Linked DNA regions of Cricetulus griseus. The protein of the gene in region 1 interacts with the protein of each later gene in a pairwise test. Links are inferred from orthologs where the notes say so. Each region holds a gene or a part of one and is shown on either strand. Other genes may lie near its edges.

Region 1 (4,176 bases):
GGAATCTCCATATTAGTACAAGGAAGAGCCTGGAAGTGACATGAAAAAAAGCAACACTTTAGAACTGCTGAGAAGTTTCCTACAGAAATTTATGTCAGAGCAAAGAAAGCAGGCCTGCTCCAGGAATCACAAAATACCTTTAAAAACAAAATACCTGGGAGGGGAGGGGACTTTGGAGGACCCAGCCTGTATCACCAGCCTTGCCTTAGTGCCCTAACTTCCCATCTATGCTTTTAGGGGACACCCATGCCATCCTTTGGCAGCCTTCATTTTGCTCCATTTTTTATTATGTTTAAATTGAATCTGGGGGTTTTATTACTATAATAAGGGGATATAAGGAGCTGGAGATGGAGAGGGATGTAAGGAGATGGAGATGTGGTTGCATCTGTAGAGTGCTTGCGAGGCAGCATGAAACGCTGAATTCACTGGAGTGGTGGTACACACCTGTAATCTCTGCACTTGTGGGGTGGAGGCAGTACTATCAAGAGTTCAAGATCACCTTTGGCTTTATAATGAGTTTGTTGCCAGTCTGGGCCACATGAGACCCTGCCTCAAAAGAAAGGAAGGAAGGAAGGAAGGAAGGAAGGAAGGAAGGAAGGAAGGAAGGAAGGAAGGAAGGAAGGAACACATGAAGGAATGTACTTGTCTTATTCAAGAAAGAAAATAAAAATTGAATGTTCTGGTGAAAAAAATAAGGTTATAGTTAAAGTGATGGTCTTTGCCATTTGGAAATACAAAAGCTAGGGGCCAAAAAGATGGCTCATCTGGATGTCTGTACCATAAAGCCTAATGACCTGCGTTCAATCCTCAAGACCCACGTAGTAGGAAGAGTTGTCTCTGATTTCCACAGGGACACCATGGCACGCACGCGCGCGCGCACACACACACACACACAATGTAATTTTAAAATTTATAAAAAAAAATACAAAACCTAAGTAACAAGTATTTTTGGAACTCTAAACTTTTGATTGCACTTTATTTTCCAGTACATATTCGTTTCCCTACTTTCCAGAGATTCAACATACAAACTGCTAAAATCTGTGTGTGGACACTTGGAGGTGCGTATGACATTCAAATTCTATGCTGTCTTTCTTCGGTATGCCTTAAGGTCTGAAGTTGACCTGGGTTTTCATTTTATTCCTATGATTTCAGAACACAAGTGTCGGTAACAATTCCAACCCATCTTCTCCTGAAAATAGTTTCCGGGCAGATCGCCCTTCATCTCTGCCTCTGGTAAGCTGCCCAGATAATGACGTAAGTGCACAAGCAAAGGATGGAGCCATGGCTACCCTGTGCTCACACTACAGCCAAGGCTTGGGAGGAACTCAGGACCAGTGTAGTTGGGGACAGCTGCAGAGCACAGCTTGTCTCTCCAGAAGCAGAGGGACCAAAGGGAGCCACTAACTTTTTCTAGTAATCTACAGGTTGTTCTACATGGAGAAGAAATATGATAGTAAGGCTGGAGGTATATAAGACCTCACTTCATTTGCTTGTCAGTTTTGTTGTGTGTGGTGCTGGCAGTCAAACCCAGGGCCTCATGCATGCCAGCCAAGCACTCTCCACTAAGCTACATTCCAGACACAGTGCTCCTTTAAAGAGATTCACAAATCTCTTTGAGGCAGGCTCAGTTCACAAAGGTTCAGGGTACTATACTGGGAAACCATGGAAAATTAAAACTAATTCTCACCTTCAGAGACTTCAGCTTAGGAAAGATGGGCAGACTCAGAAATGACTAGGCAAAGCTATTATGCTCAGGTGGCAGGTAGAACTATTATGTTCCCTTGGACTTTGTAGACCACAGTGAAAACCTCCAGTGGTATCTCTATGTGTACATGATGTCTACCTATAGTAGAGAGGCCAGCCTAGTCCACAGAGTGAGTTCCAGAACAGTCAGGGCTACACAGAGAAACCCTATCATTGGGGTGGGGTGAATAGGGGAAGTAGTTTCAACATCTAGGAATCTTCTTTTGCATTTTGAAAACTAATGTAATTAAAGCATGTTCACATAAAAACTCGAACAAGAAAGTTTATCTGGGAGTAATGGCATGCACCTGTAATCCCCAGTACTTGGGGGTAGGGAGCTAAGACAGGAGGATTACTATGAGTTTGAGGCCAGACTATGCTACACAGACCACGATAGAAATATATAGCAAAACTTTGTCTCAAAAGCAAAAAGGAATGTTTATAGCAGTATTTTGCATAATAGCCCAAAGTAGGATAAAACTCTGATGTTCTTTAATGAATGGGATGTATTTAATATAGTATACAGTGTAGTATTACCCACTCTTGAAAAGGAATTGAAGACTGATACATGTTACCACATAGATGGACCTTAAAATCAATATAACAAACAAAAACAAATGGCTATGTATTGCATGATTGCATTTACTGATGCTTCCCAAGTTAGAATGGGTTTCCATCTTCATAGACCGTCATAATGATCCATAGCACTGGGAGGGAAAGGGTGTGGGCAGTACAAAATACACATGTGATGACTTAGAATTCAGCAAACATGGTTTCCAGTGTGAGCTCTCCCAGTTGGAGTCGCTCCTCAGGGAAGTTCCTTCCCCTCTGACCCACTTCTTTCATCCAGTGAAATCCTAACCTCACCATATGGGTGGGGAAAGCCAATGGATCCATGTGTGTAAGGCGGTTTGCACACTGCCCCATACAGGATCAACCTTCAGTTAGTCACGATTAAGTTGAAGAGACTAAAGTTTTTCCACTTTTCAAACTGAATTGTAGCTCAGTTGGTAGAGTACTAGCATGACCTAAACAAAGCCATGGGTTGTCCCTAGCACCAAACAAAGCAGGCATGGTGGCTCACGCCTGTAGAGGTAGAGGCAGGAGGTTCCAAGATAAAGGTCATCCTCAGTTACATTGAGAGTTTAAGATAGCCTGAGATAGATAGAGGAGACTCTGTCTCAAACAGTTAAATCAGGTATAAATCAATCCATCGAATGTTCACCTTTCTTTCCCCTATCCATCATTGTAAGGAGTCTAATGGATGCTGAGATGACACAAAGACAGCAAAGTCAAACACAAATGTTGCTCATTTGCTTACTAGTGTTTCCTCAGTCGGCAGCTAAACTGTTAAGAGCTCAGCCTAATTCGGCCTTTGCCAGGGCCAGCTGGAAATACTGTGTATCCCCTTAGGTCTTGAACACTTCAGGGAAGCCAGTGGAATACAAATTGAAATGCCTCTGCTCGTGGTCTTCTCTCCTGGTTCCGTAGCTGACCCTGATAGAATCTAACTTAAAAGGCTGCTTTGCCTGCAGTGTTTTTTTTTTTTTTCTTTTCTGTGCCCACTAGCATCTTTTTTTCATTATAATTTACAATACTTTTGTCTACATAATTCGAGTGGCTTTGAGCTGTCTGTCTGGCAGCAGTTAGATATTTCGGGGCACAGTGCTGCTGAGATTCTCAGCCTCCCACTAGCAGTTTCTCTCTCGCCAGCCGTCCAGTGCTTTCTCTAGATACTTGTTTCAAACCAGCCATGTGCTGTTTATGAATAGAATTCTAACCATGCAGAGGAATCTCGGTTCCGTAACCAGATACTCCCAGGTTAGGAAAATCCCGAGGCGTGTGGTAACCCGTGCTTCATTTCCATATTTTGTGGGTCAGGCCTAAGCAAAGTGGCTAAGGTTTACAGAGGCCTGCCTATCTCCTCACGTCACTGTCTCCCCATAGGATTTCAATGATGAATTCTCAGACCTGGACGGAGTGGTTCGACAACGAAGGCAAGACATGGAAGGATACAGCAGCTCCGGCTCCCAGACTCCAGAATCTGAGAACTCCCGAGGTCTGAGGAGATCTTGTCCCGATTCAAGTTTCATGCCCCACACAACACCCCCCCTCACCGTCTTCAAAACACAAAACAAGGCCCACCCTTCTCCTCCCATTCTCCTCCCAGATTAACAGTTGCAAAGGAAATCTTGGGAAAGGGTTCCTAGGAAAGGGAATTGCCTCTATAGCAAAATCCATCTCCTTTGTCCATATTTAACAGACATCTCTTACACTGATATGCTAGGATGGCTGAGAGAGATCAGCATGAGATTTCTCACTTATATCTGTAATAGTAAGAGACGTTAATACTGTGGGTCTATGGATGCCAACCCAGTGTCCTTGCGTCATTTTGTTTTCTGGTGAACTTTGGGTTTCAGTCTCCAGGCACCA
Region 2 (4,704 bases), on another chromosome or scaffold:
AGTGCCCAGGCCTTGTAGGCACCTGTGGGAGTTACAGCTAATAGGAACATTATCAGATCTCTCCAAAACTGAAACTGGGGCTGCCACCCAGACTGTGGGTGTAGACGAAAGTCACAGAGATACAAAGTGGTCACCAGGCAGGCACCTCAGAGAGCCAGGCCCCTTCTTGCCCAGGATCAGAGGATAGATTTGGGTCGGAGTCTATGAGCACAGCAGATGCCACTTCTGGCTGTTCTCCACTGCTGGCTCAGGACACCCACTGAACCCAGAATGACACCATCAGAAACTTAGTGGAGATAATCGCTGCAGACAAGAAGGTGACCATGAGCCAGCTCATGGTCAGTCATGAGCCAGCTCAAGGTGGAAGAGGCTAGCACTACCCCATTTCACAGGTGAGGAAATCGAGACTCACTGCTTAGGATATCTGCCCAGATCAAGCTTATGTGTAGTGAGTAGGTGCTCAAATCCAGCAAGATCCCTCTGCCCTAGACTGCCTTCCTCATTGCTTAAAGTGACCTTAGCTGTAATGTGATCTGAACAATTGGAAATAGAAAAAAGGAAACCTGTGTTTTTCCTGTTCTTCCTAAGCCCAGGAAGGGATAGAAGCCAAGAGGATATTCCTCCAGCTGGGGGAGGGGTGAGATGGCAAATGGTACCTATATGGGAATATGTATTTGCATGTGTATACATACACTTATGTATCCTCCGTAACGTATTCTGAGCACACTGGGCTCAGAATGAACAAGCAATGAAGCAACAGGTGGGAACACACTAGGCCTGGAAATTGGCACACCACGGTTGGAATCCAAGCTCTGTTGCTGTGTGAGCCTGGTAACATGCTCCACCTCTCTGGTCCTGGTTCCTCACTTGCTGGTAATAATACCTACCTGACAGGTCAGCTGTTATTCTGAATCTAGGTGCCTGTGCTCCACCCACTGTCTTTAACCCTGCCTGGTGGCTCAGCTCTAGTATGAATGCTCTGGTCCTCTGTCCCCCAGGCATGACACAGTCATTGACATCTTGAAATAAGAACAGCTTTGATTGTCCACATGAGCCCCTCACATGATCAGGCATGTTTTCTGGAAGAGTGGATGAGATTCCAGCCGATCACCTCCTCCTATGTCCCACCCCTAGCAGTATATAGCATTGCTAGGGTATACAGAAGGCAGAGGCTAACTGAAGGGGGGGCTGGGAGCAAAGGGGATGACACTTCATCTATGCAGCTTTCCAGGGGTGGTCCACCTATGCTGATGTGGGACTTTGGTGAGGTAGCTGTTTAGGGGTTACCCATGCTCCTGCAAGTATGCACAGTTCACCAAGATAGAGTTGGTAGGATTGTTCCTTTGGTCTATGGTTATCCTGCTGACTGAATGGATGTTCATTCAAGTCTTTCCAAGAAAGTAATGTAACAAATAGGCAAAGGCATGGCTACTGAAGAGATCCCATTGTGTCTATGTTTGCTGGTATGAGAGTCAGACTCCAACATCCCCGAGATGGTCTCTGCCTACCAGGACTGTGGGTACTAGCCTGTAAGAGTGACGTTTCCATGGGTTAAGTACCTCCCATGTACCAGGCTCTGTGCCTAGCAATCTTCCTCAAACTTCAAAGTAACTGATCCCATGAGACAGTGAACCCAGAGAAGTTAGAGTGGAAGAATCTGGATTTGCCTCTAGCCTGCCCTCATCACCTTCCCAGGCTGGTGCTGTAGCATATACTGGCCTAGCACCCCCGAGCCGGTGTCTTCTGCTGGGGAACTGTAAAAGATGATGATGATGGTGATGGTGATAAGCGCCATCATGAGTCCACCTGCTCCTGTTAGGCTGGTCTACAGGGTGCCTTCTCCTCTGGCTCCAGTGCAGCTTTCCTAACCTCTGGTTCTCCTGCCTTCCAGGGCCTGACAATGTGCCTTTGCCTGGGCAGTGGGTCCCACAAACTCTGGCCGCTCCAGGGGTGTAGGAGGCCAAGAAGAGGTTTGCCGGACAGAGGAGAGGCCTGGGAAGAGGGGGGCAATGACATTCTACCAAGGAGGGAGAGAGGGTGTGCCTGGGGTTGGCAGCACTCCTGAGCTGGCTTCAGAGGCACTTTCACCAGAGGCAGTGGTGAGTCACCAGCTTCTCCCACACCCAGTTCCCTAGTAAGTGGCGCTGCTCCGCTTGTTGAATGAATGTTCGGATTCACTAGTAAAGTTCTTAAGGACTAGTTGCAGTAGGAAGAAGCCAGAGACCTGGGGGATGTTGGGGACAGGGGGAGAGGTTATCCTCAGCCAGGGTCTCTTACCAAATAAGTGCACCAGGGACCGGACCGTAGAGAAAGGCCTCTCTCTCTTGGTCATCCGGCCAGGCTGGTCCTGCTACAGAAGCAGCACAGCCTAGGTGTACACACCCCCTAGGGCACGGAGGTCAGAGAAGCCTTTGCTGGACAGCTCCACCTGGCCGGAATCGCCTCACCAATATGCCCACCGAGAGACACTTTCCTCGCGGTCCTTCTCCCCAAGTTTCATACCCCAGGGGCCCAGACAGAAACTAGGAGTGGAAGGAGCAACCACGCACGAGCCGATTCGACTTAGAGGAGCGCTCCACAAACGTGCGGCCTGAGGGTGAGTGGACAGGTGGACGAGCACAGGGAGATCAGGGTCGCCGCACCCACTGAGGTCGCATCGCCGAAGGACCCACCGTGGACCAGGGGAAGGAGTGTCCCGGATGATAGTGTGGTCAAGGGAACAGAAGGTACTCACGTTCGCAGCCATGGTGGGCCCGGCTCGCCTCCGCGGTCTAGCACTGCTCTGCTAGGAATTAGGCTGACGACCGGAAGGCAGAATGCGGTGACCTCCTCTCTCCTACCGCGCTGCAAGACTCCGCGTGGAATCCAGGACCTGGCAGGACTCAGGTCAAGAGTTACCGCCCCGCGGATAGTTGTCTGTGCCCCGCAAGTTGTCTGCGCGAGCACATCTCGAGGCCTGCTGGGAAATGTAGTCCGCTATCGGACACTTTCCGCCACAAAATTTCAAGCGCACCCAACACTTCACTGGTGCGCGTGCGCACTGCAAGATTTCTGGGAAATGTAGTACCTGCTTCGTTGGAGGGGCGCACGGGCCGCTGGGCAATGTAGTTTTCGGCTAAGGAGCGGCGCTGGTGCTTAGGAAGCTGGGAGGCAGGCGCGCGGCGGGCAGGCCTGGAGGGGGCGGGTCCGCGCGGGCTTAAGTGCCGCCCGCCAAGCCTGAGGAGAGGCGAAGGGAGGTCACTGCGTGAAGGTGTGTATCCGCTACGGTCGTGCTGAGTGCCTCCCAGAGCTGAGAGCGTCCGGAACAACCATGTCCTACTGCCGGCAGGAAGGTAGGTCGGGTGCTGCCATGGAGACCGCTCGGGCGCCGGCCTGCGAGACACACGCGGTCGGGTGGTTTCCATAGGGCGGCGTGGGCCCTTCGTGGGTTTCACGCGGCGGTTTCCAGATAAGAAAGTAGAGGCTCCGTGAGGAACTAGGCTGGTCCAAGGTCACCGTGACACTCAAACCCGGGCCTCGGAGGCCTCACGTGGGCCCTGCGAGTGCGGAGCATGTTGTATCTAGCTGGGAATTGGGGACTGTTAGGAATTAGTCACCATCGTCCCTAGCACGCCCCACGTGTTTGTATCTCGCTTAGGCTTTTTAATTATCCCGGGAAATTACCACTTGGGCTGGAATAGGCTGTGCTGCGTGGTGAAGCGCCTCTGGCAGGAGTGTTTATTGAGCTCCTCTTGTATACCAGGCACTCTTGAAACTTCACGTAGCGACCTTTATAAGTCGGGTTCTGTTATTGTTCGTGTTTTATCAGACAGTAAACTAAGACGGGTTACTCGGCCCTAGAGCCCATCGGGTGATGAAGCTGCAGTGCCAGTGGGGAGCCCTCTGTTAAAGGCCTTCCTTTCTACCGTCTCCAGCCACGTTGAGGACCACTCACTTGTCTGTTACTTGTGAGCTGCAGCCAAGAAGACTCCAGACTAGTCTGCACCTTAGCCTCTCGGCACTAATGGCTCCTTGTGTCTAAGCTGCTAGCAACCCCTCCAGGCCCTAGTTTCCAGTCTCGGCCATCGTTCATTCTAGTATCCACAAAGCATGTGCCCAGGGGAAAATTGAGTTGGAGGACTATTGGGAATACAAATAAAATTCTTGGGTCACCCAGAATTTTAGAATGAGTAGGCCAGCTTCTTCACTGTAGTCTAGGGAATCTGAGGGGTAAAGGAGGAACTAATCCACCCCAGGCTATGCATCCAATTAGAAGGCCCAGTTTACACCGCACAGCTGTTTCCTCCCGCCCTAGCAATTCTTGTCATGATTTTTGTTTCTTCCAAGTCTAGTGCAGTTTACCAGTTGGCAGGTTGATGTTGAGTCTTTGGGGTAAGTGTTATGATAAAGCTTGTGGGGAACTTTGGCGGATTCCATGGCAGGTGAGGTTGACCGAGGCAGAGGGACAAACATGCTAGGCAGACAGAGCTTAGTGAGAAGTTTTATTAGAAAGGGAAAGAGCTGGAGGGAGGAGAGGAAAGAGAAAAGAGGTAAAGAGACAGAGAGGACAGATAAGAAGAGGAAGACAGGAAAAGTCCTGTCTGCACCAGGGGAACTTAGGGAAAGAGAGAGAGCAGAAAGAGAGCATAAGTGGATGGGGGGGTCTTTCATATTTTTTATTTTATGTTACTATTGTTTTTGGAGACAGTCTCACTATGTACCACA
Region 3 (4,885 bases), on another chromosome or scaffold:
TGACTATAGACTGTGGGAGTCCTGACTAACCCTCAAATCACCTGCTCATTTATCATACCATCCATTCATCCACTTATTTTTCTCCCCTATTCTCCATTGCTCCACTATGCATATCCATCCATCCCCTGATTGTCTATCCACCTACTCATCTGTTGTTCTACAGTTCATCCATCTACTAATCATCCATTCATCTTTTCACCCATTGTCCATCCATCCATTGATCAGCTGTCCAATCATTACTCTATTTACACATTTCCATTCATTATCTCATCTGCTTCTCTTATACTCATGCAACCAACTGCTTATTTTTCACCCATCTATCCACCCATCTACATTCATCCATCCATCCATCCATCCATCCATCCATCCATCCATCCATCCATCCATCTGTGCCAACTCTTAATTTTCTTCCTGTTCTTTTTTTCTTTCTTCTTCACCATTCTCTACTTCCTACCTTCTGAGAAACATTTGTTTAGAGTCTACTGTGCACCATGGCTTTTAGATTTAGAAGGATTCTTTAAACCTTGAGGATTCTTTAAACCTTTAAACCTTTTCTCAGGAGAAAAGTTACTTTTTCACTGAACCCCAGACCAGCTCCTCTGTACCCCAAGCTTCTCCTCCATAGGGAACTCTGTTCATGATTCCCGGGGAGGAGAGAGAAGCAGGGAGAGAGGAGAGAGAAAAAGAACCAGTCTGGGTTAACTGCTACTGAGCCATCCTACTTTATCTGAGATGCCCAAGCTGCAGGACGCATGGAAAAGAACCCAAGACTCACACTCAACAATGTGGAAATCTATGTTGCATTTTATAAAATAGCATAATTGTATATGAGAACATTTCATTACAGTAGTCTCCTAATCGGTCTCCCTGTTTCCAGACTCCTGTATCCACATCGATGGCTTCTAACCATGGTCAGAGGAATCTTTATTTTGTGTATGTTTGTGTGTGTGTGTTTACATATATATGCGCACATGCATGTGCATGCATTTAGAAAGCAGAGGTCAATATCCAATAACTTCATCAATCACTTTCCACGTTATTTTTGAAAAAGGGTCTTTCATTGAACCTAGAGCTCTCTCTTTGCCAGACTTGTTAGCCAGGGATCTACATGGATTCTCTTGCCTCTGCCTTCTTAGCCTGGGGACATAGGTGCCTTCTGGTGTACCTGGCTTTTACATGGGTTCTGGAGACATGAACTCATGCTTAGGTGGCCATCACTTTTCTTCCCAGCCCTTCAGAGTGCTCTTTCTAGTCCCTTTCCTGAACCCACTGGAAGGAGGTAAAGCCCCTTAAGATGATCCAAAAGGACCCTCATCACCTGACTAGATGCCTCTTAAACCCACACCCACCTCCTGCCACACATCACATGTACATAGGGCCAGAGCTATCGACAGTTTCCATAGCATCCTAGTAGTCTTATTTCCCAGACACCGAGTGTGTCCATCCCTCATTCAGTACTCCCATCACTGTGCTCCCTGTACGTCCTTTGACAGTGGATATCCATCCATTGCCATGTTCTCCACCTCATATTGTAATTTACTTTCTCAGGCTATTTTTTCTGTCAGATTACAAACTGAGTTAGAAAATTGAGTAGTTCATCTCTGGGGTCCTGAGTTGGGCTCATAATGTGTTTGTATGGTGGGTGGGTAGATGTTGACTGAATGATAGGCTAGGGGCTCTTTACAAAAGAAATAGAGAACCTTTGAATTAGATGATTAAAATGTCAGTGTCCCAGGGAAGAAGGCAAGTGATCCCTGCAAAGCCTGGATCTTTGGAGAGGGGATGAAGCTGTGGTCTCAGCCTGGTAAAATGTCTAAGCCAAGAACAGGGAACTTGGGCATGACACAGTGACTTGCTCTGCGACTCATTTCCCGTTTCCTTCTGGATAAAAGGCCTTAGGAGAGACAAACAGCCAGAAGCTCCCATGCCAGAGGTGAAGATGAAGGAGAGTGAGGCCCCTGATGCCCACTTCACAGTGGACAAGCAGAACATCTCCCTCTGGCCTCGAGGCAAGTGCCAGCTACTGCTCCAAGCCCATTTGGTGCTTTGCCCATCACTCTTCACTGATCCTTAACAAACCTCTGTGTCTCCTACCAGAGCCTCCTCCCAAGCCAGATCTGTCTCCAGTCCTGAGGAAACCTCTCAGCCTCCGTGTGGCCTTCATCTGTCTGTCATTGGTGCTGGTCGCCTCTATTGTGCTTCAAGCTGTTTTCTGTAAGTCACCAGGTCCCTGGAGACCCAGTCCTTTTGCTGCTGTTCTTGGTGTCTTCAGTGTATAATGTTTCAGGAAATTTCCTGATGTTTCTGGAAGCCGACTTGCTGTTCCTTCCAACTCTGGGTTTTTGGAAGATTTCCCGCCTGGCATTAGGAACTGTCTGTTCTCAGGGGTACTCTTCAGTCTTGAGGAAAGAGTCACCAAGCTTGTCATGCCTGCTTTTGCCTCCCTTAGCATCCTGTCACTCACAGCGTTGAGGTCCTTTGGTTCAAAACATTGTGGATAGCTCCCAACAGTGGGAGGGATCCTACTCCTGACCACCCACAAGGCAGTTTGTCTCCATTGAGCAGATAGGGAACTTGGCCAAGCCAGCAAATCTCCCAGACAGTCTCATTCTCTTGTATGTCCTTACCTGGAATCTTCTTATTCCCCTTCTAGAAGCTTCTTAGTCTCTTCTGTGGTCACACCTTTCTCCTTTCTGCCAAGTCTCTAGAAAGTATAGGGAGGGAATGTTTCTACTTTCATGACTGACATGCGTGGTCACAGATGCTCAGCCACACCTTTCCAAGTCCCTAACCCTCATCCTCAACTGGTGGCCTTGTCTCTTCTCCTCCACTTACCCCCACCCTCTGTCTCCTGTTTGTTTGAGACAGGGTCTTACTATTTATCCCTGGCTGGCTTGGAACTCAGTAGATCTGGCCTGCCTGGAACTCACTGAGATCTGCCTGCCTCTGCTGGGATTAAGGTGTGTGATACCATGCTTGGCTGTTTCGAGCTTTTAGCACTGCCTTTTTCATATGATTCTTTTTGGAAATCTCATATTTTATTTTATTATGTATGCAAGTGTTTTGCTTGCATGGATGTGCAGCACATGCCCTAGAATGGTTTGCTTGTGTGTGTGTGTATACCACAAGCCCTAGCTCTCAAAGAGACAAGAGGACATCTCATCTCCCTATAACTGAGGTTATGCATGGCTGTGAGCTGCCAAATTGTGCTGGGAATTAAACTCAGGTTTTCTGAAAGAGTAATTGTTCTTCCTGCTGAGTCATTTTCAGTCCCACAGATCTCTTTTGATAGTTATTGGTTCCCCTATGATCTTAGTAGAGTATGAAAGACAGGGCTTGGGAAGGGCAGAAATAGCTCAATGCCCCTCCTATGTGTTCTGGAGTCTGCATGGATATGGCCCTGCCCATGGCCATAGACCAGCTTGTGGCAGATAAGGGAGGGTGTGCTGCCTTAGCTGGTGGCTGTGTCTTTGACAGCAGAGGGCTGGGGACTATCTCATAGGCTCAGAGGGGACTCAGTGATAGAATGATGAGGGGGTGATGAAGAGTGCCCCTTTACCAAGTTTACCCTGACCATTCTAAGGCATTTCAGGACTAGGCTCTCCCTCTGTTTGTTGATGAGCTCTCTTGGTCTCTGCCAGGCCTGTGTTACCCAGCGTTCCTGACACATGGTGGCACATAGCACACCCATGTGCACATTAGTGAATGAGTGGAGAGTAGGTGGCAGTTCCTTGGACTGTATTGGTCCTTTGGGAAGCTTGATTCTGCATCGTTCACTTTCTTCAGACAACACCCCATCTCTGTGGCTTAGTAACCTCTCAATTGACTGCTTGACTTTCTCAAATCCAGATCCCAGGTTGGTGGACAAAATATTGGATGTGAAGAGCGATGCTCAGATGTTGAGAGATCGTGCGGACAATATCAGCAGTCTGGGTTCTGTTCTGGAGAAGGACAGAGGCCGTGTGGAGGAGGCTGAAGTTCAGATTCAGATCCTGAACACAAGCCTAACCCGGGCGCGTTCCCAGATTCTGTCTTTGCGGATCATCATGGAGCAAGCCAGTGCTCAAATCAGTGTGTTAACACGAAACTGGGAAGAGGTTGATAGTCTTAGTTCCAAAATCCCGGAGCTGCAAAGAGATCTGGATAAGTCCAGCGCCTTGAATGCGAAGGTCCGAGGACTGCAGAACAGCTTGGAGAATGTCAACAAGCTGCTCCAAAGACAGAGTAAGTAAACAAGATCATCCTGCAGGCTGCAAAACCCTACCTGTCTCAGACAGGTGACAGGCTGCCTTGTGGGTGGGCAGGGAACAGGCTTTGGGTGGGCAGGAGACAGGCTTGTGGGTGGACAGGCATTACCAATGGTCTGGGTCTGAGAGAACTTGGGGGTAGTGAGGAGAGAAAATACTGGGCCTAGCTTGGGTCTCTACACTTAAGTGCAGAGTGCAGAAGCATTGGGGCGGGGCGGGGGTCTGTATGTTCCATATGGGGAACCTGGAGTTCCGCATGGTCTGGAGAAGAGCCATATTTTGGGTTCTGAGAGAGTGAGTTTACTAAATATATAGTGAACTAATAATAAAAGAATGAATAACAATCGACAGATGGATAGAGAATTGGCAGGCAGACAGACAGATACACAGGTGAGAGATTGATGTAGCAAAACATCAAATTGGACACTCAAAACACCCAGCGGAAATCAACTGGGGAAGCCACACTGAGACCTTCAGCCGGAGTTTCTGTTAGGGAGTCCCTGAGGAGCAGAGGGTCCCTTGGGGTAAGAACAAATAATGGCTGGAAGGTCACATCATCAAATCTGGAACTACAAACATCCAGCAGAAACTCACTGAGGAAGCTGAAACAGACCTTTCTCTCCTTAGAGGGCACTTTG

Evidence for each region. The genes of interacting proteins can lie anywhere in the genome.
Region 2: the proteins of Gramd2b (region 1) and Tmem43 interact in binary tests that used the Homo sapiens proteins (3 or more experiments, as listed by UniProt). The two-hybrid records come from large-scale screens. The link is inferred for Cricetulus griseus from reciprocal best matches to the Homo sapiens genes GRAMD2B and TMEM43.
Region 3: the proteins of Gramd2b (region 1) and C-type lectin domain family 4 member K interact in binary tests that used the Homo sapiens proteins (3 or more experiments, as listed by UniProt). The two-hybrid records come from large-scale screens. The link is inferred for Cricetulus griseus from reciprocal best matches to the Homo sapiens genes GRAMD2B and CD207.

Annotation. Positions count from the first base shown.
Region 1 is NC_048595.1:182,402,480-182,406,655, reverse strand, and holds part of Gramd2b (GRAM domain-containing protein 2B), read left to right. Parts: intron 1-986; coding exon 987-1,058; intron 1,059-1,152; coding exon 1,153-1,254; intron 1,255-3,690; coding exon 3,691-3,802; intron 3,803-4,176.
Region 2 is NC_048601.1:52,332,782-52,337,485, forward strand, and holds the start of Tmem43 (transmembrane protein 43), read right to left. Parts: upstream 2,962-4,704; 5' UTR 2,747-2,961; coding exon 2,735-2,746; intron 1-2,734. Other genes in the region: Chchd4 (mitochondrial intermembrane space import and assembly protein 40), read left to right, coding at 3,311-3,332. UniProt on the Homo sapiens protein: May have an important role in maintaining nuclear envelope structure by organizing protein complexes at the inner nuclear membrane. Required for retaining emerin at the inner nuclear membrane.
Region 3 is NC_048601.1:57,585,670-57,590,554, forward strand, and holds the start of C-type lectin domain family 4 member K, read left to right. Parts: upstream 1-1,924; coding exon 1,925-2,009; intron 2,010-2,097; coding exon 2,098-2,214; intron 2,215-3,849; coding exon 3,850-4,224; intron 4,225-4,885. UniProt on the Homo sapiens protein: Calcium-dependent lectin displaying mannose-binding specificity. Induces the formation of Birbeck granules (BGs); is a potent regulator of membrane superimposition and zippering.